Alligator mississippiensis: one gene and its partners. The protein of the gene in region 1 purifies or fractionates together with the protein of each later gene. This does not show direct contact. Links are inferred from orthologs where the notes say so. Each region holds a gene or a part of one and is shown in the gene's direction. Other genes may lie near its edges.

The links.
Region 2: the proteins of ACTL6A (region 1) and DPF3 purify together in Homo sapiens (affinity purification with mass spectrometry; 4 studies listed by BioGRID and IntAct, counting the BioPlex papers as one, with this or other methods). This does not show direct contact. The link is inferred for Alligator mississippiensis from reciprocal best matches to the Homo sapiens genes ACTL6A and DPF3.
Region 3: the proteins of ACTL6A (region 1) and ARID1B purify together in Homo sapiens (affinity purification with mass spectrometry; 5 studies listed by BioGRID and IntAct, with this or other methods). This does not show direct contact. The link is inferred for Alligator mississippiensis from reciprocal best matches to the Homo sapiens genes ACTL6A and ARID1B.
Region 4: the proteins of ACTL6A (region 1) and MORF4L1 purify together in Homo sapiens (affinity purification with mass spectrometry; 6 studies listed by BioGRID and IntAct, with this or other methods). This does not show direct contact. The link is inferred for Alligator mississippiensis from reciprocal best matches to the Homo sapiens genes ACTL6A and MORF4L1.

The regions. Positions count from the first base shown.
Region 1 is NC_081830.1:80,466,114-80,473,055, forward strand, and holds the start of ACTL6A (actin-like protein 6A), read left to right. Parts: upstream 1-3,926; 5' UTR 3,927-4,010; coding exon 4,011-4,035; intron 4,036-4,121; coding exon 4,122-4,198; intron 4,199-5,783; coding exon 5,784-5,958; intron 5,959-6,515; coding exon 6,516-6,616; intron 6,617-6,942.
Region 2 is NC_081825.1:235,931,504-235,939,049, reverse strand, and holds the start of DPF3 (zinc finger protein DPF3), read left to right. Parts: upstream 1-4,535; 5' UTR 4,536-4,669; coding exon 4,670-4,701; intron 4,702-7,546. UniProt on the Homo sapiens protein: Belongs to the neuron-specific chromatin remodeling complex (nBAF complex).
Region 3 is NC_081824.1:135,152,882-135,159,993, forward strand, and holds the start of ARID1B (AT-rich interactive domain-containing protein 1B), read left to right. Parts: upstream 1-4,109; 5' UTR 4,110-4,531; coding exon 4,532-5,944; intron 5,945-7,112. UniProt on the Homo sapiens protein: Involved in transcriptional activation and repression of select genes by chromatin remodeling (alteration of DNA-nucleosome topology).
Region 4 is NC_081834.1:2,028,414-2,035,661, forward strand, and holds the start of MORF4L1 (mortality factor 4-like protein 1), read left to right. Parts: upstream 1-4,241; 5' UTR 4,242-4,303; coding exon 4,304-4,343; intron 4,344-7,248. Other genes in the region: interferon-inducible GTPase 5-like, read left to right, coding at 1-339. UniProt on the Homo sapiens protein: Component of the NuA4 histone acetyltransferase (HAT) complex which is involved in transcriptional activation of select genes principally by acetylation of nucleosomal histones H4 and H2A.

The DNA.
Region 1 (6,942 bases):
TCAGCACCCCCTTTCCACAGATGCTGAGGACCATTGCAGAGCAGGGGAAGATAAGACTACACAACTCTAGCCTGAGGCACTTGCAATCTAAATACATGCAATTATGCACATACCCACAGCTGAATTCTCTACGTTAGTGGAAGAATATTTAAAATCCTAAACTGCACACTTTGTACCTTTGTGTTTCCCAAATCCATGGGCTGATTAGCACCACAGAGATCCCCAGAGCAGGCAAGGACAGCCTAAGGTCTGTGCTTTTCTTGCAGTGGCTGCCAACAGTCCCCAATGGCCATTACAGCAGCAGGGACCAAGTAGGCACAGGCATACATCAGTCACACGCCCCCTGCCACACACCTTCAGCTGGCATAAGAGCCATTTTGGGGGCTCTTCAGCACCCAACAATTCTCCTAGGCTGGAGAAATAATCTAGCAGCCACTAGATTGGCTTTATGGTTGCTCTGCAAAGGTTACATATTATATGGTGTCCATGAAACATTATGACAGTAATCTGGAAAAATACAAATAACATTTAATTGAAAATCTTTTGCCATTTTAATTCCATATTTTCCCCACTGATTCTCTTAATTCCTATCAGCTCTACCTCCCCCAGCAATCCTAGTTTGGGTACTAGTGCCACATGCTGGAAATCATGATAATACAGTATCTTCAAAATGTTTCATAAGAGGCACACTCCAGTCTAGTTTTGCATGGTACAGCCAAGGCAAAACAGGATTTGCATGTATATTTCTAGTGCCAGCAGCAACATCGACATCACTAATGCCAGTTTCCAGTTTTGTCGAAGAAGACATTGCAGCAAAAAAGTATACGGTTTTTTTTTTTTCTCAATGACCAGAGGATGAGCTGAAATTATGAATGACTTTCCCCCATTAAAGAAACAGGAAAAAAAAAATCAGTGTTTGTCAAATGAAATGAAAGGAATTGCTTACCCTTAGGAGCTATTGTGTGCAACCATCTCCTGGTTCTCCTGTAATAGTGCTGTTTTTTGTATCTCCAGCTGTCTCCTATTGCTGGGTTTTAATATTTTCCCTGCATTTCAGTGTGACTGGTGTAGGAGGAGACGCAAGTGGAGGCCGTCAGTCACCAGCCCACTCTCAGTGTGTAGCAGGCTGGGAATTGTAGTCCACGCCAACACTTGACTAGCTACTTTTCTCATCCAATGCAGTGATTCTTAACCAGGGTGCCATGAGATTGTTTTAAGGCTGGCACGCTGTACTGCATAAAACTGGCACATACACCTCCAGGAGAACAAGAGAAACCCAGGGATTTTGAATAGGAGTCCATAGTGTCAAAGACAGTCTGATCTGCTGTTGTTTTTCTGAGTTCTTTGCAACATAAGAATTGCTCTATTATTTTTCTGTAGTCAAAAAATGAGTGAAAGCTATGACCTGGTAATTTCCAAGGGGTGCTTTGAATCTAATGAGGGGTGTCTTCTTGAGTCTAAAGATGTTGCCCTAGTGTAAACTTGGGATAACTCTGAAATCAGTAAACTTACACATTTATATAACCATTTTATAGTAAGTGAAAGGAGAATCTGATTAAAATGACATATTATGTTTTTGTCCAAGTAAACTAAGACTTATTGATATAGAGAACAAGTGTGGAGCTTTACAAGTAATGATGATGAATCAAAGCCTGCTCTTGATGATCCAAGTGTAATCAAAATAACTCCACTGACTTCAGCAGGTTTACAAAGTCCACGGTGCCTTGAGGTACTTACAATTTAAAATAAGACAGAAACTGAGGCTGATAGCCTGTGCTGATTGAAGGGCTACAGAGGAACCAATAAAAAACTACAAACAAGGCCATCTTTTAGGGGCTCACTTTCCAGAAAAGTAAAAAGCTTGCCTGAATCTTGGCCTGCTTTCTTTTCTCTTTGGCTACTATTTTGTTATACATGTATTCATTAGGTACCATAGATTCATAGATTTTTAGGGTCTGGAAAGGATCTCTCAAGATCATTGGGTCCAACCCCCCGCACTAGGCAGGAAAGACAACTGGGATCAGGTGACCCCAGCAAGGTGACTGTCCAGTCTCCTCTTGAAGATTTCCAGGGAATGGCAACTGCACCACTTCTGGAGGGAGCTTATTCCACAGTCTGGACACCCTGACTGTGAAGGAGTTTTTCCTAGAGTTGAGCCTGAAGTGGTCTTCCAGGAGTTTGCAGCCATTACTCCTGGTTTTCCCCAGGGGTGCCCTGGTGAACAGTTGTTCACCGAGCTCTTGATGAATATATTCCCCTGATGTAGCGGTAGGCTGCTACCAAGTCCTCTCTCAGCCTTCTCTTTTTTTTAGGCTGAAGAGGCCCAAGTTCCTCAGCCTTTCCTCATATGGTTTGCCTTCCAAGTCCCTGATCATATGGGTGGCTCTTCTTTGGACCCTCTCAAGTTTTTCCACGTCCTTGTTGAAGTGCAGCACCCAGAACTAGACATAGTACTCCAGCTGTGGTCTCACCAGTGCTGAATACAGTGGAAAAATCACTTCCTTGCTTTTACATGAGATGTCTCGGTAGATGCATGCCAGGGTATTGTTTGCCCTGCTGGCTACAGCATCGCATTAATGGCTCATGTCCATGCAATGGTTGATTATTACTCCTAGGTCCCTTTCAGTTGTGGTGCTAGTCAAATTGGTGCCACCGAGCATGTAGGTATGTTGGGATTGTTGGACACCTTACACTTCTCAGTGTTGAGCTTCATCTAGTTCTGATTCGCCCACCTCTCCAGCCTGTCCTGGTCCGCCTGAATCTGCAGCCTATCTTCAGGTGCGACCCCGCTGCCCCACAGCTTGGTGTCATCTGCAAACTTGAACCATTCTTGGTAAATGAACCTTGAGAAGCTTTATGAGAGAACTGAGCTTGGCTGAACATCCATGTGAGCTGACAAAAGCAGCACTGTACCTGGAAACCAAATCCATCCCTCCGTATTTCACCTTCTTCTGCTACCCGAGCCTCACAGGCAGCCGTCAGCCGCAGGACCCACTGACCGGAGCGGCTTTACACTGGATTGATAAAATCTGCGGTGCCTCGAGGCATTGACGCTCCAGAATCAGACTGAAACTCAGGCTGGCCGTCTGTGTAAACTGAGGGTTCGAGGACGACACCAATTAAAAAGTAGAAACAAAGTCATCCTTTAGGGGCTCACTTTCCAGAGCCAGAGAAAGGCACACATCCTGACTCTCGGCCTGCTTGCTTTCCTTTTCGGTTGTGCGATGCATGGACACATTCCTTAGGTGCCATCGCTGGCCAAACATCCACGTAAGCCAAGAGCATCGCTTGCACCCGGAAACCAAACCCAGCCTCTTGCGTGCCCCCGGTTCAGGATGTGTTCCCGGGGCCTTGCAGAGGGAGGTGGCGGCAGCCACACGCCCCGCAGCACCCGGGGAACGTGTGCTTGCCGCTCTGCGGCCTGTGCAGTGCTCAACAGGCTGCCACCAACCCCGCCGGCCCGTGGCACCGGGCTGCCCCTTCGGGCCCCTCCACCTCCACAGGACGAGGGCCCCATGGGCAATGGTTGCCCTCTGAGGGAGCCTGGTGGGCACAGGGGAGCAGCCCTGGGCAGAAGGGGCAGCTGTGAGGACACAAGAGGAGCCGGGGGGAAGGAAGGAGGAAGAAGCAGAGCGAGGAGCAATGGTTGGCTGCTGAAGGGTCCATGCTGGGAGCTGAAGGGTTAACTGGGGGCGCTGAAGGGTTAAAAAGTGCTGGCAGCAGGGCGGGGAGGAGCAGAAGCAGCCCCGCCCCCCCGCTCCGCAACCACACTTGCTGCTTTCCTGCCATTTTTTTTTTTGGCTCTGGATTGGCTCCTCCCCGGCTGCCGCCCTCTTTCCGCCACTCCCGATTGGCTGGCGGCCCGGGGCCCGCTCAGCGGTACAGCCAGGCTCTCCCCGATTGGCTGGCAGGGGCGGGGCGGGGCCGGCAGCAAGTTTCGTTGAGCCGCTGGGGCGAGCGCGGGGCAGCCTGGCTATTGTTGCCGCATCGGCCGGCGAGCGGCGGCGGTCATGAGCGGCGGCGTGTACGGGGGCGGTGAGTGCGGCGGGCTGCCCCGGGGCCCTGTCTCGCGGCCGCGCCCGGAGGCGGCGCTCATTGATGCCTGTTCATCATCTTTGCAGATGAAGTCGGGGCGCTGGTCTTCGATATCGGCTCCTACACGGTGCGGGCGGGCTATGCCGGCGAGGACTGCCCCAAGGTGAGGGGCGGCGCGGCCTAGTCATCGCCGCGGGGGGAGCGGGGCTGCCTGGGGAGCCCTGCAGCGGGGCGCGGGGCCCAAAAATGCCAGGCTCTCCACCTGGGGGGGAAACCCGCAGCATCCTTATAGGCTCCGCGGTGCTAGGCTGGCCAGCGCTACGGGCGAAAGGGACTTGGGGTCGTCACTGACCGCCAGACGAACATGAGCCTGCAGTGCGATGCTGTGGCTAGTAAAGCGACCAAAACGCTGGCTTGCATCCGCAGATGCTTCTCATGCAAATCCCGGGACGTCATTCTCCCCCTGTACTCGGCCTTGGTGAGGCTGCAGCTGGAGTACTGCATCCAGTTTTGGGCTCCACAATTCAAAAAGCATGTGGAGAAGCTTGAGAGAGTCCAGAGAAGAGCCACGCGCATGATCAGAGATCAGGGAAGCAGACCCTACGATGACAGGCTGAGAGCCCTGGGGCTCTTTAGCCTGGAAAAGCGCAGGCTCAGGGGTGATCTGGTGGCCACCTGTAAGTTTATCAGGGGTGACCACCAGGATCTGGGGGAACGTTTGTTCACCAGAGCGCCCCAAGGGATGACAGGGTCGAATGGTTATAAACTCCTGCAAGACCGTTTCAGGCTGGACATAAGGCTCTTTACTGTCCGAGCCCCCAAGGTCTGGAACAGCCTGCCCTCCAGAGGTGGTTCAAGCGCCTACATTGAACACCTTCAAGAGCAAACTGGATGCTCATCTTGCTGGGATCCTATGACCCCAGCTGACTTCCTGCCCTTTGGGCGCGGGGCTGGACTCGATGATCTTCCGACGTCCCTCCCAGCCCTAATGTCTATGAAATCTGTCACTGGCACCACGACACGTTTATTGTGATGACTTGATTCATTATAACGACTTTATACGTTACAATGACTTTGCATGATTATTCATTATAATGATGCTATGGAATAAATTACTTCACGTGATTATTCATTATAACAACTTTATGGGATAATTAATTCATGTGTTTATTTGTAATGTGATTATTCATTATAACAACTTTATTCACTATTACAATGTGATTATTCATTATAACACCTTTATTCACTATTACAACTTCATGCGATAAATGACTTCATGTGATTATTTGTGAAATGATTATTCCTTATAACGACTCTTTGGGATAAATGACTTCGTGTCATTATTCACGATAACAAGTTGACGTGACACGTGTTAGCTGCTGGTACTGAAGGTTGAGCTGAAAAATTTGTGGGCGGCACATCGTTTTAAACAGGTGGTCGGTTTGGGAACTGCTGATGTAGGCAGTGGTGGATGACGGAATGAAGAGCAACAGTTTGAAGTTGCAGCAAGGGGAGTCAAGGTTGGATATTAGGAAGAAATGTCTTGCTAGGAGGGGAGTCAGACACTGGGACCGGGTTACCCAGAGAGGTGGTGAAAGCGCCATCCTTGTGGGGGTTTTAAGGCCTGGCTAGACAGAGCTTTGGTTGGGATGATCTTGAGGATGGGACTAGACGTGACCGCCCGAGGTTTCTTTTAACCCTAATTTTCTATGAGTCTATGAGCGAGCAAATGTGTGTTCACATTTCAGGTCGATTTTCCCACAGCGATTGGTGTGGTACTGGAGAGGGACGATGGCAGTACGCTGATGGAGATAGATGGTGATAAAGGCAAACAAGGGGGCCCCACTTACTACATAGACACCAATGCACTGCGCGTCCCAAGGGAAAACATGGAAGCCATTTCGCCCTTAAAAAATGGAATGAGTATGGTGCTCTATCCTTTTCCTCTTGCTTTTAAGATCTGATAGCTAACTTAATGAACGGCTATGGCAGTTATGCCTTTTGCATGCAAAACAGTAATGTGTCATATATGCATTTTATGAAGAAGCTGCTTAGTTAGGCAGTGAGCGTTTGCTTGATCTGAGGAAAAACTGTAGAGTTTTCCTGTATTTGGTGGACTGGATTAGACCCCATCTGGGGAAAAAAAAGGGTGGCAAATATTCGTAAAGAGTAGCGTGAAGACTTGCTCTTCAAATGCACCAGTAAGGAAGCTTGTAGCTGCTAATGATGGCTACCAAGTTTGCTAATAGTGTGAAGTACAGTCTTAAAGGTCATGCTGCAAATCTACTTGCCAGCTGTTATGATGATGAGTCATATAAACAAGATTTCTTAAAGCTGCTGCAGTTTGTGAATTTTGCTGATTACTGCTTGATCTTCTTGATAAAAGTTATGTCTTTCTGTTGTGTGTGTTTATTACACATTTTACTTGAAGTCAAATGTCACTGTTAATTGAACTACTCCACCTGCTGTAATGTTTGTAGTTGAAGACTGGGATAGTTTCCAGGCAATTCTGGATCATACGTACAAGATGCACATTAAATCTGAAGCGAGTTTGCATCCTGTCCTAATGTCAGAAGCACCAGTGAGTAAAAATAATTTCTCTCTCTTTTGAAGTGGCTTAAATTCCATTGTTGTCATTTAGAAATGTTTAATACTATAAAAAAAATCAAAACCAAGTTATTTGAAAATACTTTATCATGATAGATTTATTTTTTGTATTTTTTGTTGTTCTCAGTAATGTGAAATGATAACCATGTTTATGTGGCATAGCACACTACACCCATTCTCTACAATTATTTGATCTGCGTTTTGTATGTATTTAGTTTTGAGCCTTTTTTGTGTTTTACTGGGATAAAAGTGGAAATGTTTTAGGTGTTCTTCTCGTATATGTACTAAAAATAAAAATAC
Region 2 (7,546 bases), on another chromosome or scaffold:
AACCTGCAATGAAACTTCAAAGAGAGAAAAGAAACAATTCACCTAGGGTGAAACTGAGTCGTAATATAAAAGAGTTACAGCAAAAATAGAACTTTGTATAGAGGCAGGACTTCCCTTTATATGCTGTAAGAATTTATCGTGTTTACCTCTCTCCATTGTGGCAGCAGCCCTTTGCTCACGTGAAGCAGCTTCTCCATGGGGCAGTGGCCCAGGGCGCCTTCCCCGAGAAGCAATGCTTTTTTTTTTGAATGAAACAAACTTGAATAAGTGCTGAAAGCGCCTGTAGTGGGCTATGCTCTGCCACTTGCATCGGGTGTTTGATGCCAGGCTCACTCACACCAACTTCTCCTTGTATCTTTTCTCCTGCATCCTCCTCCTCTTCCTCCTGCTGCTTAGATTGCTTGATTATTTTCCCCCCCAATTAAGAAAGAATGAAAAGCACTTACAAGTGCAGAAGTCTGAAGGGGAGTAGGTTAGAGGTGCCAATCCAGTGGTCTCAAGTCTCCATTGAACTTACATGGAGGAGCTACAGCTACTTTTCTCCTGTAGCAGTGAATCATATTGCAAGCCCTACTCATTAGGTCTGATTTGGAGACGAGTTTCAGCTCCTAAAACTATTCATGCTCTGTATATATAAAGTTTGAATACCCAGACTTCGTATTGATAGAACAGATTCCACCCACTAGGTTTATATAACCCCTCCCCTACTACCCCGCTCCTTTTTTTAATTTTAAATGTTGGCTTTAAAAGTAGCTGGCAGTGCCTTGTTAAGTCTGTCTACCTATTTTATTTAAAGATTTTAAAATCATTTTCATCTTCTTGCATTCTCCTGTGATTTCAGTTAATGATGAAAGTGTGTATGTTTTGGTGAGCATGTGAGGCAGAAAATACAATTTGTGATGGTGCAGGATAAAGGTTTTATTACCACGAGTAATCAATGGTTGCATTAATTGCAAGTGGTGAAGCCATGAGTGAATAGGTTATTCTAAACAAGAATCTATAATAGCTGATGCAGCATACCAGATCCTTCTGTATTTTTATGATGCATGCATTCCTGGGACAATATTTTAGAAATGTTTGAGGTAAAACTTACTATTTGTATGCCTTTGCCAGTAAAGCTAGATGCCTTAGTTGCCGATTAGCTGTATTCTGCAATGCTCTGATATTGCAGAGCTGCCCTCTAGCTGTGTAAAAAGACTCTCAAGTGGCATAACAGTCCTGTAGATAGATCTGTGCTGACCATTGGTATATGAGATGTGGCTGGGAAAAGCAGGCAGTGTGGGTTTCTTATGGCCAGCTTATGGGCCCCCATGCCATTGGCTATACTGTCAGTCAATTTGGGTTGTTGGGAGTTGGGACTGGCCCAACACCTACATGACTTAAGGTTCAAGGAAGCACAGATATGGCTTAGAACTATATTTTCAGCCTTCTCCACTGCCTGCAGCTCAGGGGCCTATGAGTCAAACAGTACAGAACCCTGAGAGACTCATTAAACTCACAGAAATGACCTACAACAGCTTTTTGCTTTACCTTTAAAATATTACCATTTGATGGTACAATATCCTAGGACTTTGCATGGTTGGATGTCTCACCTTTCCAGAGCACAGCTCATAGGCCTTCTTTGACTCTGCAGGCATTTGGGATACGTTAACTTATTTATTTTTCACATATAAAAAGCTGTCACTGTTCTGAGACAGAATGATACTTATTTTGGGTCTCTGGCTAATATGCTAAGCATGCAAATATTTGGTTGAAATTTGCTTCATAGTAAACAGAAGAACCACCAACATTGTGTGTGAGGGCTGGCTGTACACCTGAACGCAAAGGTGTAGCTTGTGGGGAAAAGAAATAACTTCTGGAACAATATACAGTAACATAGTATCTTCTGAAGGTGCTGGGGGTAGGGGGATGGGGGAGGGCAGAGTATAAATGATATATAGAGATGGATTAATGGGAAGAGTATAGGTGAAACAACCAAAGGAGTTTGATATAATCCTCACACATGTAACTGCAGTTCATCATAAGATTCCAGAATGAATTATTATATATAGCATCTAGGTGTCAACTTTCTGTAGGCAGGTGGGTACCACAAATATAAATAAATGTTATGTGAACAAATCCATGACCACCTGGTGTCCCATGGTGGTAGTGTTTAAGTTTCCATGGAAGTAAGATTTTTTTTTGTGAGGATGGAGACAGAGCCAATTACCTCCCACAGTTTTAGCTACAGGAGTGGTTCTCAGCCTTTTTAGACTCAGTGAACCCCTGATTAGGCTCAAGGCACCCCTCTGTAACTTTTGCAAAGTGAGTGGCACCCAATTTCAAAACCTACTGTATTTATTTCAGTACTGACCTCTGTGCAGAGGGGCCAGGCAGTGTGGATGGGGGTACAGCTAGGCAGGGAGTTTCCCCGTCTGCTTATCTTTTCACGCCTCACTGTCAGTATATCCTTACACTTCCTATGGCATCCCAGGGTGTCCTGGCACCCTGGCTAAGAAGCAGGAAGCTAACAATCTCTGCCAGCAGGATAGGGCTTATGCCATGCAGTGAAACAGTTATGATGTCCTCTACCTTGGATCATTGGTACACATACACATTAACCTGTTCGTTTCTGTTTCATATATATCACTTGCCCATTTACAAACGCTTTTAAGTTTGTGGATGATCTTCCTTGCAAGCCAAGCATAAGAAGCCTGTTGTACTCAGTGTTAGCTGAGTGCTTACTATATTTTATAGAATCATACAATAACACTTACTTCCCATGACTATGTTTTGGGATGTCCCAACAGCTTGGAAATGCTGTGATGCATGAAAATCTGGGTTCTGTAGAGAAGTGCTTTTAGCCAAAAGGCTTATGAGGAAAGAGTAGATCACCTTCAGGGACAGAAGGTGATCTACTTAGATGAAAGAGTAGATCACCTTCAGGGATAGAAACTTGGCACAGTAATTTGTTTAATCTGTCAGCTAATGAGGCAACATTCTTGAGAAGAGGGACGGCAGACACATTTGAAAAGACTTGATCTAGCTTTTTTGAAACAACCCTAGGGCAGGGAAACAAATGTGTACTCCATCGTCTCTTTATTTGACTCCATCCTTCCCTCCTTGTATCTCCCCTCTTGCATCTTTATCTTGTTTGCAGCAACTTTTTTTTCTGCTCACCCCTTACGTCGAAAAAATTCCAAGGTATAAAAAAATAAGATTTGTTATAACCATTTTGGCCCTTTCTTAATTCAGCTCAGTAGTCCAGAACTGCTGCCTCTACTTATTTTGCCACCTGAATATATAATGAATTATTGATACTTCCATTGTTACTCTGGTTGTCTGAATGATTATAATCAAATCTTTATTCTTTTCTCCCTCATGTTGGTACAAAAGCAGTGTAACTTCTTTGATTTCACTTGAATTTCTCTTGATTTGTGATCTTCTGTTTACACCAAAATCAGGCCTATGTTTCATTTTTTTGAGGGTCAGAGGATGCCTGAAGGGAAAAAAGACCTTTGAGGTAGTGAAGTTTTGCATGAAAAAACCCTCCACTAATATCAAACCAAACTTTGTGGGTCTGATTCAGACTTTTTTTAGGTCAGATTACACTGGTGTAACTTCATAACTTTAATGGAGTTGCCTCTAAGATGCACTGAGATCACAACTAGGCATCTTGCGAACCTCTTAGCTCATGTTGGATTATTCACTTGCAAAGTCTTAGTTACAGGCAAACCCAGACTTCCTGGAGTTTGGTGACTCTCCTGTCAGTCAACTTTAACGGCACCTCATCTGCTGCAAAACTACTGGCCTCCAAGTTACTTTGCCACCACAAAACTAGGCGTCGTAAATATGAAAGTTAAAAGCCTTCCTCCTCCCTTTCTCTGCTGAAGGATCAGATGACTTGGTCTCAACATGCTAGCCCAGGCGATTAACTTGAGAAGTTGCTTTGTGGGAAAAACAGAAAACAAGCAGGCAGTTGGTTTGGCCACTGTGCATTATGTAACCAGTGCACTGGCTGCAGGAGCTGGATGACTGACATTGAGAAATTCCTAGGGGAGGGGGGAGGGGGTGCAGCCCTAGAGTCACTGTGAGCACTAGCATTTCCAAGAAGCCTAAAGAGGAAAATGGCTTTCAAGAAAGGGAAACACATTGGGGAATAATAATGAAAAGCTTCAGGATCTAATGCGGAATCAAATGTCAATACCCATGTAATTTATTTTCCTGGTGAAATGGCATGCATCCAATCCTGGCATGTGAAGAAGGGGGCATGCCATCTGGGAAATGCAAGGCAGCGACAGCAAGGCAAAGAGACAATGAATGACCCATGCTTTATCCCCTACTCCTCTCTCTCTCTCTCTCTCTCTCCCTCTCTCTTCTTTAAAGAAACAGTGAGATAACTGCAAAAAGTCTTTCCCTCCTCCCACTCACCCCCCCCTCACTCAAATTCGGGGCGGTGACAGCCCTAGGAGTGTGAACTGCCCCTTTAAGACCTGCTCTCTTCCAGTTCTACAGAAAGGGAGTGACCTCTGGGCTTTGACAGCTCCCCTAATAACTAGCAGAGACCGAGCTCCGCCCGCGGCCCCTGATTGGACCGCGGGCCGGTATCCCGCGCGCGGATTGGCTGGCCGCTTCCCCTGAGCGAACCTTTAGAACTCCGAGGCACAATATTCTGTTACATTGTAGCAAAATGGCGACTGTCATTCACAACCCCCTGAAAGCGTAAGTAGGAATCAAAAATGTACATATTCCGCGTGGTTTCAATATGAAAAAAGGCGCCTTTCCGCCGCTCGCTGCCAGCCGGAGCCGGGCGCCTGCAGCCTCCGCGCGGCTCTCCCCGGCCGCCCTCCTCGCTCGCACCCACTCTCTTTTTGTGCCCCGCGCGCGGGCGCCCGGCGCTGAAATTAACGAGAAGAAATTGTTATATTTGTCTCCTTAATTGGCTCGGGGGGCTGGAGGGGAGGGAGGCGGGGAGGGTGGCCCCGGTGCTGCCTGGCAGATCTCCGGGATGCGCGCACCTGGGAAACGCCGAGATCCCGGAGGACCCGGCGGGGCTGCGTGCACTTGCCAGTGTCCTGCGCCCGCTGTCTGGGCGCCCGGGGCCGGGGGAGGAGGCTGGGCTCGGAAGTCGGCTGCGGCGCCGCTCGGCTTCGCGGCGCTGCCACCCGAGCCAGGACTTTTCTTTCGCAACTGGCGCGGAGTTGGGACGAACTTGGCGGAGCGGGCTGGGAGCGGGCCGCAAGGCCGGCGGCGCAGATCCCCGGGGGCGGGGGCACCGCGGCAGTGCTCCGCCACGGCCGGCCTGACACGAAATGAATGAGCCGGGTCAGGGCTGGCCGGGGCACGGCAGGAAGTGCGGAGCTCTGCTTTGCATGTGAGCGCCTTTCGCTTTGACAGGGGCCCGCGGGGCTCGGCTCTGTTTCCGGCTCGGGAGGGACCCGCGGAGCCCCAGCGTGGCCGGCTCCGGCCGCGGGGGAGCCCGGGCGGCTGCTTGCTAGGAAACGAGAGGCGGAGAGTCGGGGGCAGGTGCCTGCGCGGCACAAACCCGCGGGGCTGCCCGAGCTCCAGGGAAGGCGGCTTTAAAGCAGGAGGGAGGGAGGAAGGAGACACCAGAGCAGCCGCCTTGCCCCGGATCGCGTCCCTGCTTTCCCGTCTGCCGCTAATCCCCGACGGCATTAGGGACAGTGGGGTTCGCCCCGGCCGTGGGGAGGCCAGAGGCTGCCTTAGCCCGGTGGAAACCACTTCCCTGCCCGCTCGTGGCACCTGGCGCGGGCGCCCTGGAGTTTTTAGCGATGCGATTGCGGCGCCCTCGCAACTCCGCTCCCTCGCAGCCCCGTTGGAGACGCAGCCGGGGGCTTTTCCAGGGATTCCCCGCTGCTGTCCCCGAGCGAGCTGGAGCGGGGCACGCAGCCGCCGCGTTTACCTCTCTCCATTGTGGCAGCAGCCCTTTACTCACGTGAAGCCTCCTCCCTACGGGGCAGCGGCCCGGGGCGCCTTCCCCGAGAAGCTGATGCTTTTTTTTTTTTTTTTTTTGAAAGAGAAAGAAACCTGAATAAGCGCTGAAGGCGCCCGCAGTGGGCAGTACTCCGCCACTTGCACCGGGTGCTTGATGCCGGGCTCTCTCTCATCAACTTCTCCCCGTGCCCTTTCTCCCGCAGCCTCCTCCTTCTCCTCCTGCTGCTGCTTAGAGCGCTCGAGTATTTATTTTCTCCCAATTAAGAAAGACAAGACAAGAAGAGTTAGATCGTGCGCATTCATTGTTGGCAACTTAGGTGCCTGAAAACAATCTCGACTATACACAATACAGGTTGTTGGGTCTGTCTTTGCCCCTCTCTGCGGGGGAGGGGGGAGCTGAGTTTATTTACACCCTTATGGAAATATGAAGAGTTGGAAGGTTGGGTCTGGTTCCCCTTTTGGGAAAGTCATTCAGGCGCCGCTGCTCTTACGGGCGAGCTGCCGAAAAGGGATTTGAACCTTACTGTAGAGAGAGAGAGAGAGTGTCCGCGCCGGGCTCCCCTCCTGCTTTCGTGGGGGCCAAATGGGGATAACTCCGTTCAAGTCAATGGAGGAAGCCGGCGGGAGAGTGCAAGAAGAACGGGGGCATGGTACGAAGGTGTCACCCTTACTGCAAGACGTGATTATGGACCATTAGGTTGCCCCCAGATATATTTGGGGCGCTCATTACCTCCACACAGTAATTTCTAACATCAGCTGATAGATCCTGCCAATGTTTTGTGTGCACTTACATTCTTTGGGGGCCTAATCCTGTTGCCACTGAAGTCAGTGGGAGCAGGGTTGGACCCTTTATAATTAGCTCTTCCCCCCCCCTCCTTCCCCTGGGGTGAGAGGAGAGGAAACAATAGGCATCAAGTGCAGGGTTTGCTTTTCTCTGTATGCCTTTTAAAGTATGAACACTGTGCAGAGGGAGCAGGATTGGAGCGGGCCGTCTGACACCATCTGTCTTTTTTATTAACTTGTTTAATAAAACATTTTATAATTTTCATTTATTCTTTAAAGTTGCTGATCAGGAAACAATACACATGTAAATAAATTATGCATGGGATAAATTAGGACAAAAGCAGTAAGACACATAATAGGGGGGAAAGGATGCAGTGCACAGTGTTTTAGCCTCATGTGTCCTTCCTGACAATGAAAGGGAGCTGAATGACATTTGCATTTCCTCCGTCTGCGTTTTGATTGTGTCTCAAAACCCACAGACGCCCCCTACAGAAACTGGCCACACAAAGGTTTTGCTCTGCGATAGGGGACAATGTAGATACTATAGGCTGAAATCCTAGCTCAGGTATCATAGAATCATAGAAAATGAGGGTTGGAAGGGACCTCAGGAGGTCATTTAATCCACCCCCCTGCTCAAAGCAGGACTGTCCCCAGCTAGATCACCCCAGTCAAGGCTTTGTCTAAGCTGGGTCTTAAAACCGTCCAAGGATGGAGATCCTATCCTATATATTTTATGCATTTATCTACGAACAGTGTTCTATCTTCAGCACAAAGACACATGGGTTACTCTGTTTATTGGAGGCTAGTCCTTGTGGGATAACATATTCCA
Region 3 (7,112 bases), on another chromosome or scaffold:
ACAACCCCAAAAACCCTTAACAACAATGCTGTTTTCCCTTACCTTCTTTTACAAGGATTAATGCCTGAATACTGTAAAAGTATTGGTTTATTTTCTATGCATCTATTCACTATTACTTTTCATACTTTTGCTCCTTTTATTTTATAAAATTTGCTTTGGCCAAGCAGAAGGCTGTCTTACGGCTGTGAAAGGTATATGGTGTTCATACTGGACCACCTAAACAAAGATGGCCTAGGGATCTGCACAGGTGTCAGAATCAACAACAGTAAGTTTAGAAAATTGTAACGTTAATCTGGGAAACTGATCCTAGAGCAGAGTTCTAAATTTTATCAAAAAAAATCAACATTCAGTAGGAGTATATAGCAATGGTTTATGCAAAAGGAACCAGTACTGTATTAAATAACATACATTTTTAAGAAATAATAACATTGAAGAAATGATCAAAATTTAAATACAAAGTTGCAGTTGTACACTTGTAAGACTAAAAACTTGATCTAGTCATTTTGCAACAGATAATATGCATGGCAATTACAGCTTTCTACATTATATGCATTTATATTCATAATTCATACATATGGAGAGAGCTTTTGGAAAGGATCATTTGAATTTAACATACACTACCACTCATCATCTGAGCAAAGATAGCAAAAGGTATATTTCTACATTATTTGCGATCTAAAAAACTGAACCATAGTTGCTTTGTGTCGTGCTTCACTTGCACAGACTGCAGTGCCTTCTGTCTACTTTAGGGTGTGGCATCTGCCATTGGGGAGGAAAAACTGGCATGTGTTGCCTTTTATAACAGACTGATTTCATTGTGCTGAGGGCCTCTATTTTATAGCCTTTTAGTTCCAATCTTGTAGCTGACTTGCTGAAATAAATGGAAGGACACATTTTAGTATAAACTTTTCAGTGCTGAAGAGTCCTCACTTTTTTTCCAGGGAAAATATTTTAAAAGTAAATCTGTGTTAAACTTTGTGGCTTATTTTCCTGTTCAGAACTAGTTACCAAGTAAGTCAGAAAGTATTGTAATCCTCAAGTGAGCTACCTTCAGTACATCTTATCACATTTTTATATATACCCGTATACACACATACACACTTTTACATTAATGTCTAAAAGCATAAATGTGTAATTGATTTTGTATTTGATTTTAGAACACACACATAAATAAATAGACACAAGTAGACCTCTATATTTATATTTGCATATGAAAGACTTCAAAAATCAACTTATGTGGTTTAATGTGTATAATTAGTGTGTGTTTGAATATGGAAAAGAAGAAAATCCAGGAGAAAATGTCAAAAAGGCTCACTAACAAAGATGTAGTATTCTCTTGGCAAAAGCTGATGAATGATTTGGCATGAATTCATCTTACAGTTCTGTTATTCTCTTTTCTACAAAGATGATATACCCTCTTTCTCGCAGTTTGCATAGAATTGCAATTTGTTGTTGTTGCAGGCTGTAATGACCCTTGGGTATGCACCTGATTCCCCCCACTAGAATTACTCACCAATTTTTTCCACACTCTCGTTTTCTGCTAACCGTATAACATTTCTACACTTGCAGTACCAAAAGAAAAAAAAAAAAGCAAGGTTGGATGTAGCTGAAATACAAGTGTTATCAACACATAGTTGACAAATTCTGAGACTTGCAAACTAACTTCATAATGGAAGTCCTAATATTTTCTGATTTTGCTGCACAGCAGTTAAGAAGTCAATAAACACCGGACATGCGTTGTTCATACATGTTTCAATAATCTTTGAGTGTAAGTCAACATTATATCATGAAGCTTCTGTTTTTCAATGTTTTCACAATGGACACAATATGCCTTCCTATTCATAACACTGTCTTCCAGAAAATACAGCTGTTTAAAACATTGTGATAAAATATTTATGCCAAGTAATGAATTTAAATCTTGACAAAATAACATTAATATCCTATTTTGCTGATGTCCGGAAAAAGCTAGTTGATTTTCCCCCTCATTTTACCAGTTAAATCTTGCATATGACTGTTACCTTTATGTATATCAAGTTATTACGTGAATCAAAGCAGTTATTTAAAAGAACTAACCACCAGCACTTGCCGAAAGGGCTACTATATAAATGAAAGTCATTATTATTAATGTAACAGTTTAATGCTGAGTAAATGTTGCTTTGCTCACACACTGTACTTTATATTACTACATTTCCACTAACATCTAGCCTATCCTGGAATAATGTTTGTGGATGTGATTGTAACACTGAAAATGTTTTACTCTCTTTAAGTCCTCTTGATCTGCATAGAAATACAAAGGATGTGTTGAAAACAGCCCCAAACCTAACAGTTACATTAAAGACATAATTAGTTCAAACAATCCCTAGGATTTTGAGCCAGCCGGACACTAGAGACAAGTGCGAAAATGCCCGTCGCTGAATTTCACATTGTATTTTACAAACCTCTGCACACCAAAGACATTGTTGTAAAATCGTATTTTATTTTTTCATCAAATCATCACAGCCAGTACACTGCATTCCTCTTAAGAATAGCAGGAGAAAGCTTTTGAACACTGCAAGGTGGACTCAGAAACAGGTTAGAGGTTTGGCAAATTTCACTAGGTTTTTGTTTTTCTTCTTAACCCAAAAGTATGCAGCACCCACAAGGTGTTTGGGTTGTTCTCTTGCCCCACTTTAGCTCCCAGACTACATTTGACCAGGACCCAAAACATACTTAGGAGGAGAGCTAAATTCCTTCCTGATGGAAGTGCTTTCTATTCTAGCTGAGTTTTATCTGTGCTGGATTTGACCCACGGCTGCCTAGTTCTTGGCTTTTGGATTTAGAGGAACTGGAGCATCAGTTTCATACACGATTAGGCTCTGTACAAAAGATGAGGGAATGAACTGGACCAAGTGAGTTTTCTCCCCACCCTCTCTCTGACACTAGGGTCACCCCTCTAGCTCTGTATCTCTCTAACACTAGGGCAGTGGTTTCCAACTTGTGGTCTGCGGAGCCCCGGGAGCCTAAGGGGTCTGTAAAAGACGACTACCATCAATTAAAAGTATTAAGAATACCTGCACACTTACAATTCAAAGGAGTCCGCATCTCCATTCAAAACTTCCAAAGGGGTCCGTGCCTCCATTTGAAATTTTTTATCAGTCTGCAAATGAAATAAAGGTTGCAAACCTCCGCAGTAGGGTAACCTCTCTCTCTCACGCTAGGGTCACCTCTTTCTCTCCCTAACACTAAGGTTACTTTTCTCTCTCTCACACTAGGGTCACCTATCTCGCTCTCTAGAACTAGGGCCACCTCTCTCTTTCTATAACACTAGGGTTACCTTGCTCTCTCTCATTATCTCTAACACTTGGGTCACCCCTCTTTCTAACACTGGGGTCACTGCTCTCTCTCTAGCACTAGGGCCACCTCTCTCTTTTTCTCTCTATAACACTATGGTCCACCTTTCTCTCTCTCCAAAACTAGGGTCACCTCCAGTGCTGTAGCAAGGGATTGGTTGAGTGGGGTGGCCACCCCAGGCACCAAAGTGACAGGGATGCCAACAGGCCCTGCCTAACTGGGCCGGGGGTGGGACAGAGCCACAAACAGCTCATGGCGGGGAGGGGGGGCATGGGGACACGGGGAGGGCAGCTCTTGCTGCTGCATTCGCTCCTCGGCAAGTATGAGGGGACATGTGCTTCCTGGATCTGTGCATGAGACAAGGGCGGGCTGCTGCTGTGGGCTTTGCCCCACGTGCCAAACTTCTTTGCCAGGGCCCTGGTCACCTCTCTCTGTTATGCTGCGGTTACCCCTCTCTCTCTCTCTCACTCTAACACTAGGGTTCCTGCTCCCTCTCTGTCTCCCTCTCTCTAACACTGGGGTCCTTGCCAGGCAAAAAAAGAAAAAGAAAAAGAAAAAGAAAAGCGGGGAGCCCAACCTTCCCCAGAAAGGTGCGGGACTCCCGAGGTAGCCTCCTCTCCTCTCCTGCCCTCCCCGCGCGCGGCGGCGGCGGCTGCGGAGCAGGAGGGAGGGAAAGTCCAGTCCGCGTTTTCCAGGCGCGCGGCGGCAGGCCGAGAGAAGTGGATAATAGTTGTCGGAGCTCGCTCTCTCTCTCTCTCGCTCGCTCTCCCATGCCATGCTGGGCCGGAGCGGCTCAGTCAGACGTGTATTTCCCCATATCCGGGTGAGGGAGGAAAAGGCAAGAAAAAAAAGTTTCATTTAAAACCCGAACCAACAAAAAAAAAGGAAAAAAAATCCCCCCCCCTTGAAAAAAAAAAAGAAAGAAAGAAACCCACCACCACCCCCGCTTGCTTCCAGCAGCAGCAGCGAGGGAGGCAGCCGGAGCAGGCACGGACCCACGGCCGCCCCGGACACGCGGGGAGGGGAGCTGCGGTAAATTTCGCGTGTGCGGCGGCGGGCGTGTGCGGGTCCCCTCCCCGGAGCCCGTCTCTTTCCTCTGCTGCGTTTTTTAATTCTTCTTCTTCTTCTTCTTCTCTGTTTTGTGCGGCTCCCCCCCCCACCCCTCCTCCTCCTCCTCCTCCCCGGGCCTCGCAATGTTGCCATGATCATGGCCGCGCAAGTGGCAGCGGCTCCGGCGGGGGCGAACAACAGCAAGGGCAAAGCGCCGGGCTTGCCGGGCAGCCTGAGCCAGGAGCGCGGCGCGGCGGCGGGCGGCGGCGGGGGCTCCATGCTGGGCGCCGGGGACGGCGGCGGCCTGGGCAGCGTCCTGCAGCACCGCGCCGAGCTGGGCACGGCCAACAACGCGGACAAGGACGGCGGCGGCGCGGCCCCGATGGACGCGGGGCTGCTCCCCAACCACAAGCTGAAGGGCGGCGAGGCGCTGCACCCGCACCATGCCCTGCACCATGCCCACCACCACCACCACCACCACCTCGGCGCCTTCCCGCCGCAACAGCAACAGCAGCCGCCGCCGCCGCCGCAGCAGCAGGCGGCGGCTCCGCACCATGCCATGCAGAAGAGCGGCGCTGCGCAGCCCAGTGCAGACATGGAGCAGCAACATGGAGGCAAGGACGGCGCGGGGGGCGCCCAGGCCGAGCCGCCGCCGCCCCTGCTGAGCAAAGGCGGCCCGGAGGAGGAGGAGGAGGAGGAGGAGGAGAAGCTGGGCGAGCCGCGCTACGAGCACCCGGCGCTGGGCGCGCAGCAGCAGCAGCAGCCAGCGCCGCCGCCGCAGCAGCCAGCGCCAGCGCCGCCGCCTCCCCCCGGCGCGGGCAGCGGCTTGGGCGCCGACTTCAGCGCCTACTTCGGCCCCGGCGCGGCCCCGGGCAGCGGCGGCGGCGGCAGCAGCTCCGCCGCCGCCGGCCGCGCCGGGCCTTGCTTTGATCAACATGGCGGACAACAAAGCCCCGGGATGGGGCTGATGCACCCCGCGGCGGCCCCCAGCGGCATGGACCCCCTGCACAACTCCCATGAGGGCTTCGCCAACAGCCAGTACAACCACTACCCCGGCTACGGCCGGACCGGCGGCGCGGCGGCAGCAGCGGCGGCGGCGGGCGCGGGAGGAGCCAGCGGCGCGTATGCGGGCTCGTACGGGGTGCTGAGCTCGCCCCGGCAGCAGGGCGGCGGCGTGATGCTGGGCCCCGGCGCGGCGGGCGGCCTGGGCAAGGCGGCGGCGGCGGGCGGCGGCTTCCAGCGCTTCTCCAGCCAGAGCCCGCACCCGTCCGGGGCCACGCCGACGCTCAACCAGCTGCTCACGTCCCCCAGCCCCATGATGAGGAGCTACGGCAGCGGCTACGCCGAGTACAGCAGCCCCGGCGCCCCGCCGCCCCAGCCCCAGCCGCAGGCGCAGGCGGCCGCCGCGGCCCCCGGCAGCCAGCAGGCAGCGGCGGGCATGGGCCTGGCCAAGGACATGGGCTCGCAGTACGGGGCGGCCAGCCCGGCCTGGGCAGCGGCGCAACAAAGGAGTCACCCGGCCATGAGCCCGGGCAGCACCGCGCAGCCCCTCAGCAGGACCCAGGTAACCGCAGGGTGAGGGCCAGGGGTGCCCTCCCCTCCCCTCCCCTCACGCGTGTGGGCGGGCGGGCGGGTGGCAGGAGCCCCGATTTCTTTGCCGGGTTGGTTGCTTGTTGCTCAACTCTATGGCAAGGGGGTGTCCCCATGCCCGCCTCTGGCTAGGCCGGGGAGCCTCTGGGGTGGGCTGGATGTAGGCCGTGGGCTGTGTCGCTTTTTTTTCCAGCTTATTTGTGCCTCCCCTCAAGCCCCCAAGCCTTTGCCGTCTGTTTTGAGCCAGGGATTGCAGGGCCCCAGTCCCAAAGTGGGGTGGGGAGGGTGGGAGAAGGGATGCAGAGGGAAGGTGCTGCTTTTCTGACCACTCCAGCAGCGCCTGGGAGCGGATATTGATCAGTCTCCATCAGGATTTTTTTTTTTAAATTTGTCTCTTTCTCCCCCCCCCAACCCTCCAGAGCAAAGAGCTCTGTCCTGCCTTTTTACCCAGATGAGTTCATTGTTGGGAAGGCGCTCCAAACACTGCCAGGTTCCTTCTGGCGGCTCGAAACGTGCGTGCCGTAGTGGCGAAGGGTCCCCTGATCCGCCCCGAGATCCGTCCTAGACCTCGCTGGTGCGCGCGTGTCTGCTCCCCGAGACAAGAATAACCCGTTGGTAGAAGTGCGGGGGGTGTTTGGAGCAAGCCGTGCCCGTCCAGGCATGCATGGTCCCCAATTAGAGCAGCAGAGTCCTTCCTTTGTAGAAACAGGCCTAGCCCCTGAAAGCCCTGCTTGTTTGGACGAATGCAGGCGACTGATTAGCTAAATCCAATATATTACTAAATCAATAGATAGCAAATGATTGTTGGATGCTCTGTATAGCTGGCTATTTTTTTTTTGTCCTCCTCCAAAGTCAAGGGCTTGATTAGAAAGGGCTTTGCGCTCTTGGTGTTTCTTGCTAGCAGTCTGAACCTAAAGAGTGACTTGATCTCCTTTGCAAGGTTTGGAATTTGAATTGTGGAGGTAAACTGGCTGTAATAGTCTCCAGACAGCTGCCTCTGAGTTGACATCTAATCTGCCATCTGATTGGCTCCTCTCTCACCATTGGGCATTTAGCACTGCTGATGTAAATAGAAGTGCTGAGCAATACAGTCACAAAAATTCTTGCCACAAATAATAACTGAGCAGTAGCGCTCACAGATG
Region 4 (7,248 bases), on another chromosome or scaffold:
CTGACACAGTGCTGCCAGGACTTTGGCCTGGATGAACATTCCCTCGACGGGATTGCTAGGCGCACAAACAAGCCCATCGAAGAGCTGAGAGCTGTGATAAAGTCCCCCCTGGGCCAAGAAATCACAAAAGATCTCGTCCTTAAGCTCCTGTCCAAGGCAGTAGGTGGGGCAGTGAAAAACACTTTGGTTTTCAACAATATCCTCCCCATAGTGTGTCCCGTGCTAGGTTCTGTGGTATCAGGCATCCTTTCTTACAAGACCATGTACAGCTTGCTGGAGGGTTTCCTGAATGATGCTGCTGACGACGCCATACGTGTGCTGGAAAAGGCTTCGAAGTGAGAAGCCTGTATGTCGGCAATGGGCCAGCGCTGGCTCTGTGACAGGGATGCAACCAAGTGAAAACCCCTCTGCGCTTTCTCCCCTGCTGCCCCATTCGCGGGAGAGCTGCCAGCAGCCAGCCACGTGCTTCTTCTGCCCTGGGCTGTGACAGCAATCCCAGCAGGCATCTCGCTTCCTTGAGCAGCTTTCCTCCCCCGTGCTGGGCTTGCTTTGCTTCTGGACTTGACGCCGAGCAAGGCCAATGGTGCAGCCTACCCGTTCAGGTGCCTGAGGGAGTAACGGGGTGATTGGAGACTCCCGCACATCCCCATGAGCTTGGCCATCTCTGCCACGGGGCCGTCTCCTCGGCATGAGCCTTTGCTTCTCTGAACAATCATTCAGTTTTGTGTCCAGCTTTCAGGATTCCTAGGCTCCGATATTGCCTCCTTGCGGGTCCCAGCCTGGGCCCCTTTCCTTCCCAAAACTACATCATACTTTAATTGCAGTGACCCACATTTACTTTGCATCAGCGGCCCATGTCCAGTAGTCGCTGCTCGTGAGGCAATGTGGTTTGGGCCCAGAGACACTTTGGACTTGTCCTAAGGGGAGCTCTTCTCCACAAGCGTCTCTCTCCGGTTCCTCCCAAGACAGCATGTGCCTGTATCTGCAGAACTGGGCTCCCGAGCTGAAGGCCTGTGGGCCAGATCCACCCATAGGGCTGGGAGAGGGGCAGGGTGCATGGGGGCAGGCCTGCCACTGCAATCCAGGGGACTGAGCCTCAGGTGTTACCTGGCTGCGTGACACCCATGGCTGCCTCCACCGCTCACCTCACCAGTGCTGCCTCGCCGATCTGGCCTTCGGGGAGCCGATCCGGCCCTCGCCAACCTGGCCCTTGAGGAGCCCCGGGGTCCAGATGCAGCCTAGGCACAGAGTCAGTCCGACACTCCTGCTGGACAGCTTTGGAGGAGAAAATGAGGCAGGGAGTGCAGTGAGGCTGCCCCAGGGACACACGGCGGAGTGTCCGTTAACCTCGGGGAAAGACCCCCTGGGCCCCCCCGCTCCCCCACATCTGCCTCTGCTTGGAGACGGCGGGGAGCAAAACCCCACGCCTGGGGTGGGAGCTTCCGTAGGTCTTCGGATGCTTTGGAGGAATAATTTAGGCCGTGTTAGCATGAGCGCAGTTAATCAGTAAACCACCTGCTACTGATTGTGAAGAGTCCAGGATTGCTTTCTTGCTATTCCAGGTATTATGAGCATTTTACCTTTTGCGGCTGCAATAATCACGTCGTGGTTAGACATCGCTTGCCTTTCTCTGTTTTTAACTGTCTGTTTTCTCAAATTAAGATTTACATTAAAGTTTCCTTATAACGATTCCTGTAGAGTACTGGGGTTCATTAGGACAAGCTTCCTGAGCCTGCTTTGGGTTGGTCATGTCACCATGGGCACAACAGGTCAGTGCTTGGTCCTTCTAGCAGAGAACATGGTGAAAACCTGTCTGGTCCCTAGCTAAAAACACTTGGCACAGCCATGAGGGGCACTTGTTCCCCTCCTAAATCAAAAGGCAAATAGCAGCAGCGCACACACTCCTCCTCCCAGCACGAACCTCCTGCTTTGCTCTTCTTCCCTCCCATTACTAGCTCACCCCATAGCAACCTCTACCTCTCGTTTGCCTATCCCTTAAGCACTCCCTTGGGATACATATGTTGTTTTTAAGAACCGGCCCCCTGTGCAGTGCCCTGGCTGGCCCCGAAGTGCAACCGTCTGGTGCTGCACGGGAGGAAAGAGCCCTGGGCCTTCCTCCAGCTGGTTATGGGGTGTCACTACTGCTCACTACCGTCACTACCTTGCTCACTACCATCCCAGACTCCAAGCCAGGATGAAATGGTTCCAGTTCACAACTGGCCATCTGCGTCCCCAAGCAGAGATGACAGCAATTTAACCTGACCCACAAAAGCAAGGCCAGACTGAGCTTCCCAAACCTGGCCTCCCCAAGCCAGGCTGGATATGGGTGACTATTTGCAAAGCCGGTGGCAAACTTATCGTGGCGTGCTGCTGTAACCACTGTTTTTGGGTGTAGAGACTTTGGGTTAAGCAGGCCATTCACTGCCTGGCATAGTCCCGTGGGTCGGCACCGGTCAGACACTGGCAGGGGTGAGGAAATAGCACATCACAAATATCACGAGCCTGATACCAGTGCACAGCCCTGGGTCTGGCCCCTCCATGAGTCCCACACGGCCTCCGTTTGATTCCCCCCAGGATGCTCTTTCTGTCTCCTCTGTGCTGTACCTGCACCCGCCCAGCCCTCCATTTTATACTGCTGCCACCACCACACCTGCTCCCAGTCCTGCCCGGACCCCCGAGCCCTCCAGCCGGAGCCTCACCCCTTTGTTTCCCCCAACACCTCCGCCTGACCCCTCGGTCCCTTTGTGCTACCCTGAAGCACCCCTGGGCTGGCCCTCCACAGCCCCTCATGTCCCCCCAGCCCCTCACCTGGGCCCCTTCTATCCCCTCCACTTCCCTTGCAGCCCTGAGGCCACGGCCCTGCCGGGCATGCACCTCACCTCCCAACAATGCCACAGGCCTCCCGCTCCCTCCATGGCGCTCACCACACTCCTGCCACGTCCCTTTGCAGCACCGTGGCTCGGCCAGATCCCACCTGCCCAGCAGCCGGGGCTGGGCTTGTCCTTGTCCCGGCTGTGGGAACACCCAGCAGCTCAGCGTGACCCCAGTCTCTATGCCCCACCACCTGCCATCCCTAGCCTGGCCTCCCAGCCCTTTCATTTTGAGCCCCAACACCTCCCTGATGGCTCCGTTACTTATGGGAGCCTTACAAAAAAGGCATTTGCCAGGGCTACTGTGCAGCAGCTGGATTTACTGCACATTTAATACTGCAAGTACTAAAGTAAATGTGTAGCAACGGCTGCACATTATTTTTTTTTTGCAAAAAATATTTATTTCTATAGCTAAATAAACATATATAATGATATTAAATTTTACCAACATTAAATATTAAATATTATATATATATATTACATATATATATATAACTACTGTGCATTAATGAATGTGTAGACGCACACAGTGAGAATTAAAACCCTGGCCTTTGTCCTGCAGGGGTCAGCACAGCTCTCCAGGATCACAGCCAAGCGCCCTGGCATCGCATCATCATTTCCCCTGTCCCGGGTGAATGGTGGGGGGACTGCCAGGTGCTGAAGGGGGCCATAATTTGGCCCATGTCCTTGCACATGTGGACCAGAGAGGGAGCAAGGAGAGGTGTCTTCAGAGGACAAGCCAGTGCCCGGCTAGCTCAGTCGGTAGAGCATGGGACTCTTAATCCCAGGGTCGTGGGTTCGAGCCCCACGTTGGGCGCATGCTTTTCTTCTCTTTTCCCCCTTCCCTTTCCTTAGTCCGTTTTGCAACCCAGCCCCGGGCAGTGAATCACGCCCCTAAGGGCATTAAAGCACCGTGCAAACCTTTGCTGAGCCTGCCCAGACTCCTGCTGGAGGCACAAACCAAGGTCAGATGGAGCCCGAGGCTTTCCACGTGCAACCCTGGAGCGTGCCCGGGAGCTCAGGGGGAGCAGTGTCCACCCACAGTGCAAGCGCAGAGGGCACGCACACACTAGCTGGCTGCCGGCACTAGGCAGCACACTTCGCAGACCCTTCTTCCTGCAGCCTAGCTAGGAGAGCCCCCAGGACTACACGCCCCAGCATGCCTCGGGGCAAGCCGCGCCTGCGCAGAGCAGCGCCGGGGGCGCGGACTCCGCCTGCACAGAGCAGCTCCGGGGCCCGCCAGCCGGACTACAAATCCCGGCACACCTCTTGGTGGACCACGCCTGCGCAGAGCGGCGCTGGGGCGGACTACAAATCCCGGCCCGCCTCCTGCTGAGTCGCGCCTGCGCAGAGCGGCGCCGGGAGGGGGGGGGGGGGCCCGGCTGCAAGGCGCGAGGCCCCGCGGGGGGCGGCGGCGGGAGCGTCACTTATAAATGGCGCCCAAGCAGGACCCCAAGCCCAAATTCCAGGAGGGTGAGTGCGGGCCCCGGCGGGGGTGCCTGGGGGGGCAGTGGAGGCAGGGTGCGTGTGGGGGGGGCAGGCTGGTCGGGGGGCTGTGTTGGGCAGGGTGTTGTCTGGCGAGGGGCTGGGTGGGTGTGGGGGGTGTTTGTGGGTGGGTGGGGTATATTGGGGCAGGGTGGGTGTGGGGTGATATTGGGGGGGGCAGGGTGGGTGTGAGGGGTGTTTGGGGGAGGCTGTATTTGAGGGGCCGGTTGGGTGTGGGGGGCGTATGGGCTGGGCAGCGGGATGCTGGGAGCTGCGGGGCCGCGGCGGCTCGGCTGGGCGGAGACCCTGCCCTCGCCCTGCGCCGAGCCCCCCCCGTGCGCGCTGCCAGCGCCTCGGGCACAGCCCCACATCCCCCCCCACCCCCCCAGCCGCCACCTCTGCGCTGGGTGGGGAGGGCACGCACCACACCAGAAACAAAGGAAATGGCATTTCTCCGGGAAGACGAAGCAGCGGCTGCGGCAACCCCGGAGGCGAGGGGAGGCGGCTGCGGGTGCGTGTCCCGTACCTACGGCCAGGTGCTGCGGCAGGGCCCTGGCCCCGCTGTCCTGGCCAGCGCCCGGCTCGGGGGCGTCCGCCTGGGCAAGAGGCCTAGACGCTCCATTTTACAGGAGCTTGCAGCCCTTGGGAGGCTTTCAATGAGGCCTTTAGTTCAGCGAGGTTTGGACTCCCTCTCTGGGAACACAGGGCAGTCTGGTGGCTACAGCTCCCTCTTTTTTTGTCTTGATCCGATGCCAAAGCTCAGTTAATATCCTCTCTGTCTGCGGTTTTTTTCCTTCCCCATAGCTTTCAGCTCATCTGTGAGCATTGGCGGGGGTTTCTGCTCCCCTGAAAATGAGCCTGTATTTTGTTTTCTCACTGGGACGCAGCGAAATAATCTGCTGGAGACCAAACTTTCCTTAATAATAATAATAATAATATTATTTAGTAGAACTGCAAGGATTTTTCACTTCCTGGGTTGGGAAGTATGCATTTACTTAAGTTTTAAAAGATAATCCTGTTAGGGTCTTGACTCCTGCTTTACAATAGGCCTTTTATTACATCTGACTTCAGGATATTGGAAAATACAGTGTGGTCATTATAACGGTGACTTGGAGCGCTGCTGTAACTATAGTGGACTCTGTGTTGGCATCACAACCCCTGTTTTTTTGTTTGTTTTTTTTTAAGCGTATGAAGTCTTAATTCCAATTAGGATGTGACACAACAGACACAGTGTCTTGAAAGATGCAGGGTTTTATTATACAAGATCTGATTTTAATGTAGCTGATGGATGAAAAGTCAGGAGATTTAGCTAAGTCTTGACTGCTTCTGAGCAGTGTTTTGTGTAATACCGTTGCTGGCTTCTAAAAAGAGCCATTTGCTATAGATGGTTAAAGTAGGGAGCTGGTTAAAAAAGGCAGTAATTTTACATACTTTGTAGCAACCTTTCAAAACCATGTTCAATCACATATCAACACTGCGTCCCACGGTTTGATATGTAGAGCGTGGCTATTGTGTAAAAACCTCAGGAATTTCGAGAGGATTATGGTAAATGTTGCGTTATAATCCTTCCACTAATATTGGATTGGGTGGAGTGCAACATTTTGTATAAAAACACATCAGTAAAATTCCAGAGGGAAATGAAGCGGGTTTGTAATTTAGGGCATTTTAAAACTTTGGTCAGAAAAGAAAACTTCCATAAAACCATATTTTTAGAAAGCCCTAAGACCAAAAATAAGAGTTTTCACAATCGTGGAGGAGGAAAAAATGTAAAATGAGAGGGAGCAGTAAAAAGTGCTTATGTTTAAACTCGTATCCCCTGTAATGGCCCGAACTCAAATATTCAGACTCTGAAAATAAACCGTGTAAGCGATTATCCCCGGCTACAAAGAATAAATGGAACATGAGCAGCGAGAAGGGAATTGGATTTTTAATCCAAGACATGGAGGAACAGTAACTTGCTTTTAAAAGATGATTTTCATGTTGAGTCTCCCTTTAACAGTGACTCGCGTAATGCAGCCATCGTCTACTTTCTCCGAGATGATCTTCTAACTGAGACATTTTGGAAAGTGAGAGGGAGTATGTATGGCTTTTTATAGACGGCTTAAGATTTTTTTTTTTTTTTTTTAAAGGGGTGCATTTTGTTGCAATTTAAACATATAGGTGGAAGGACTTGTGGCACTTAAATGCATGTATTGAGAGGTCTTAAATATGATATGCTGCTCTCTCACTTTACCTTAAACAAGAGACTGAGTAACCTTTACATTTACACTTGGACTTAGGGTATTTTTAGTAGATTTCTGTGTGGGGCATTTTTACGGGAACTAGCAATTGGCATCTGATTCGACCTGGCTGAGGTTAAAGGAATACTTCCCTGGTGGGGGTGAATCGGGTTATGTATCTGGGGGGAAAATAAAGGTTCAAGTGAGAAGTCCAAGTTGTTGGGTGGGGGAGAGGGGTTGGGTAGGTGTGAGAACTGGTGCCCCTCCCCCCCCCTATCAAATTTAATACTGTTTCTCTCTCAGCCACTGCCGTGAATGCTTGTTTTCTCCTGCACTTAAAAACCCTCCAGTGACTGAGCTTCTGCAGCCTCTAGGTCATTTGTTCCAGTGCCTAATTATGGTCACAGTTAGAAACGTCTTCCTAACATCCAACCCAAAAATCCCTTGTTGCAACATAAGCCCATTACTTCTCTGTCCACTGGGGACAAGACAAGGGAACCATTGATCACTTCACTTTTTTTGTAAAAACTTTCTATTTGAAGACTATAGCAAATCCCGCCCCTGTTTAGAAAGAAGAAGAATGCACAATTCTTCCAGCCCTTCCTTGTATGTCAAGTTTTATAGACCTCTAGTAATATTCATTGTTCTCCTCTTGATTCTCCAGTTTGTCTGCA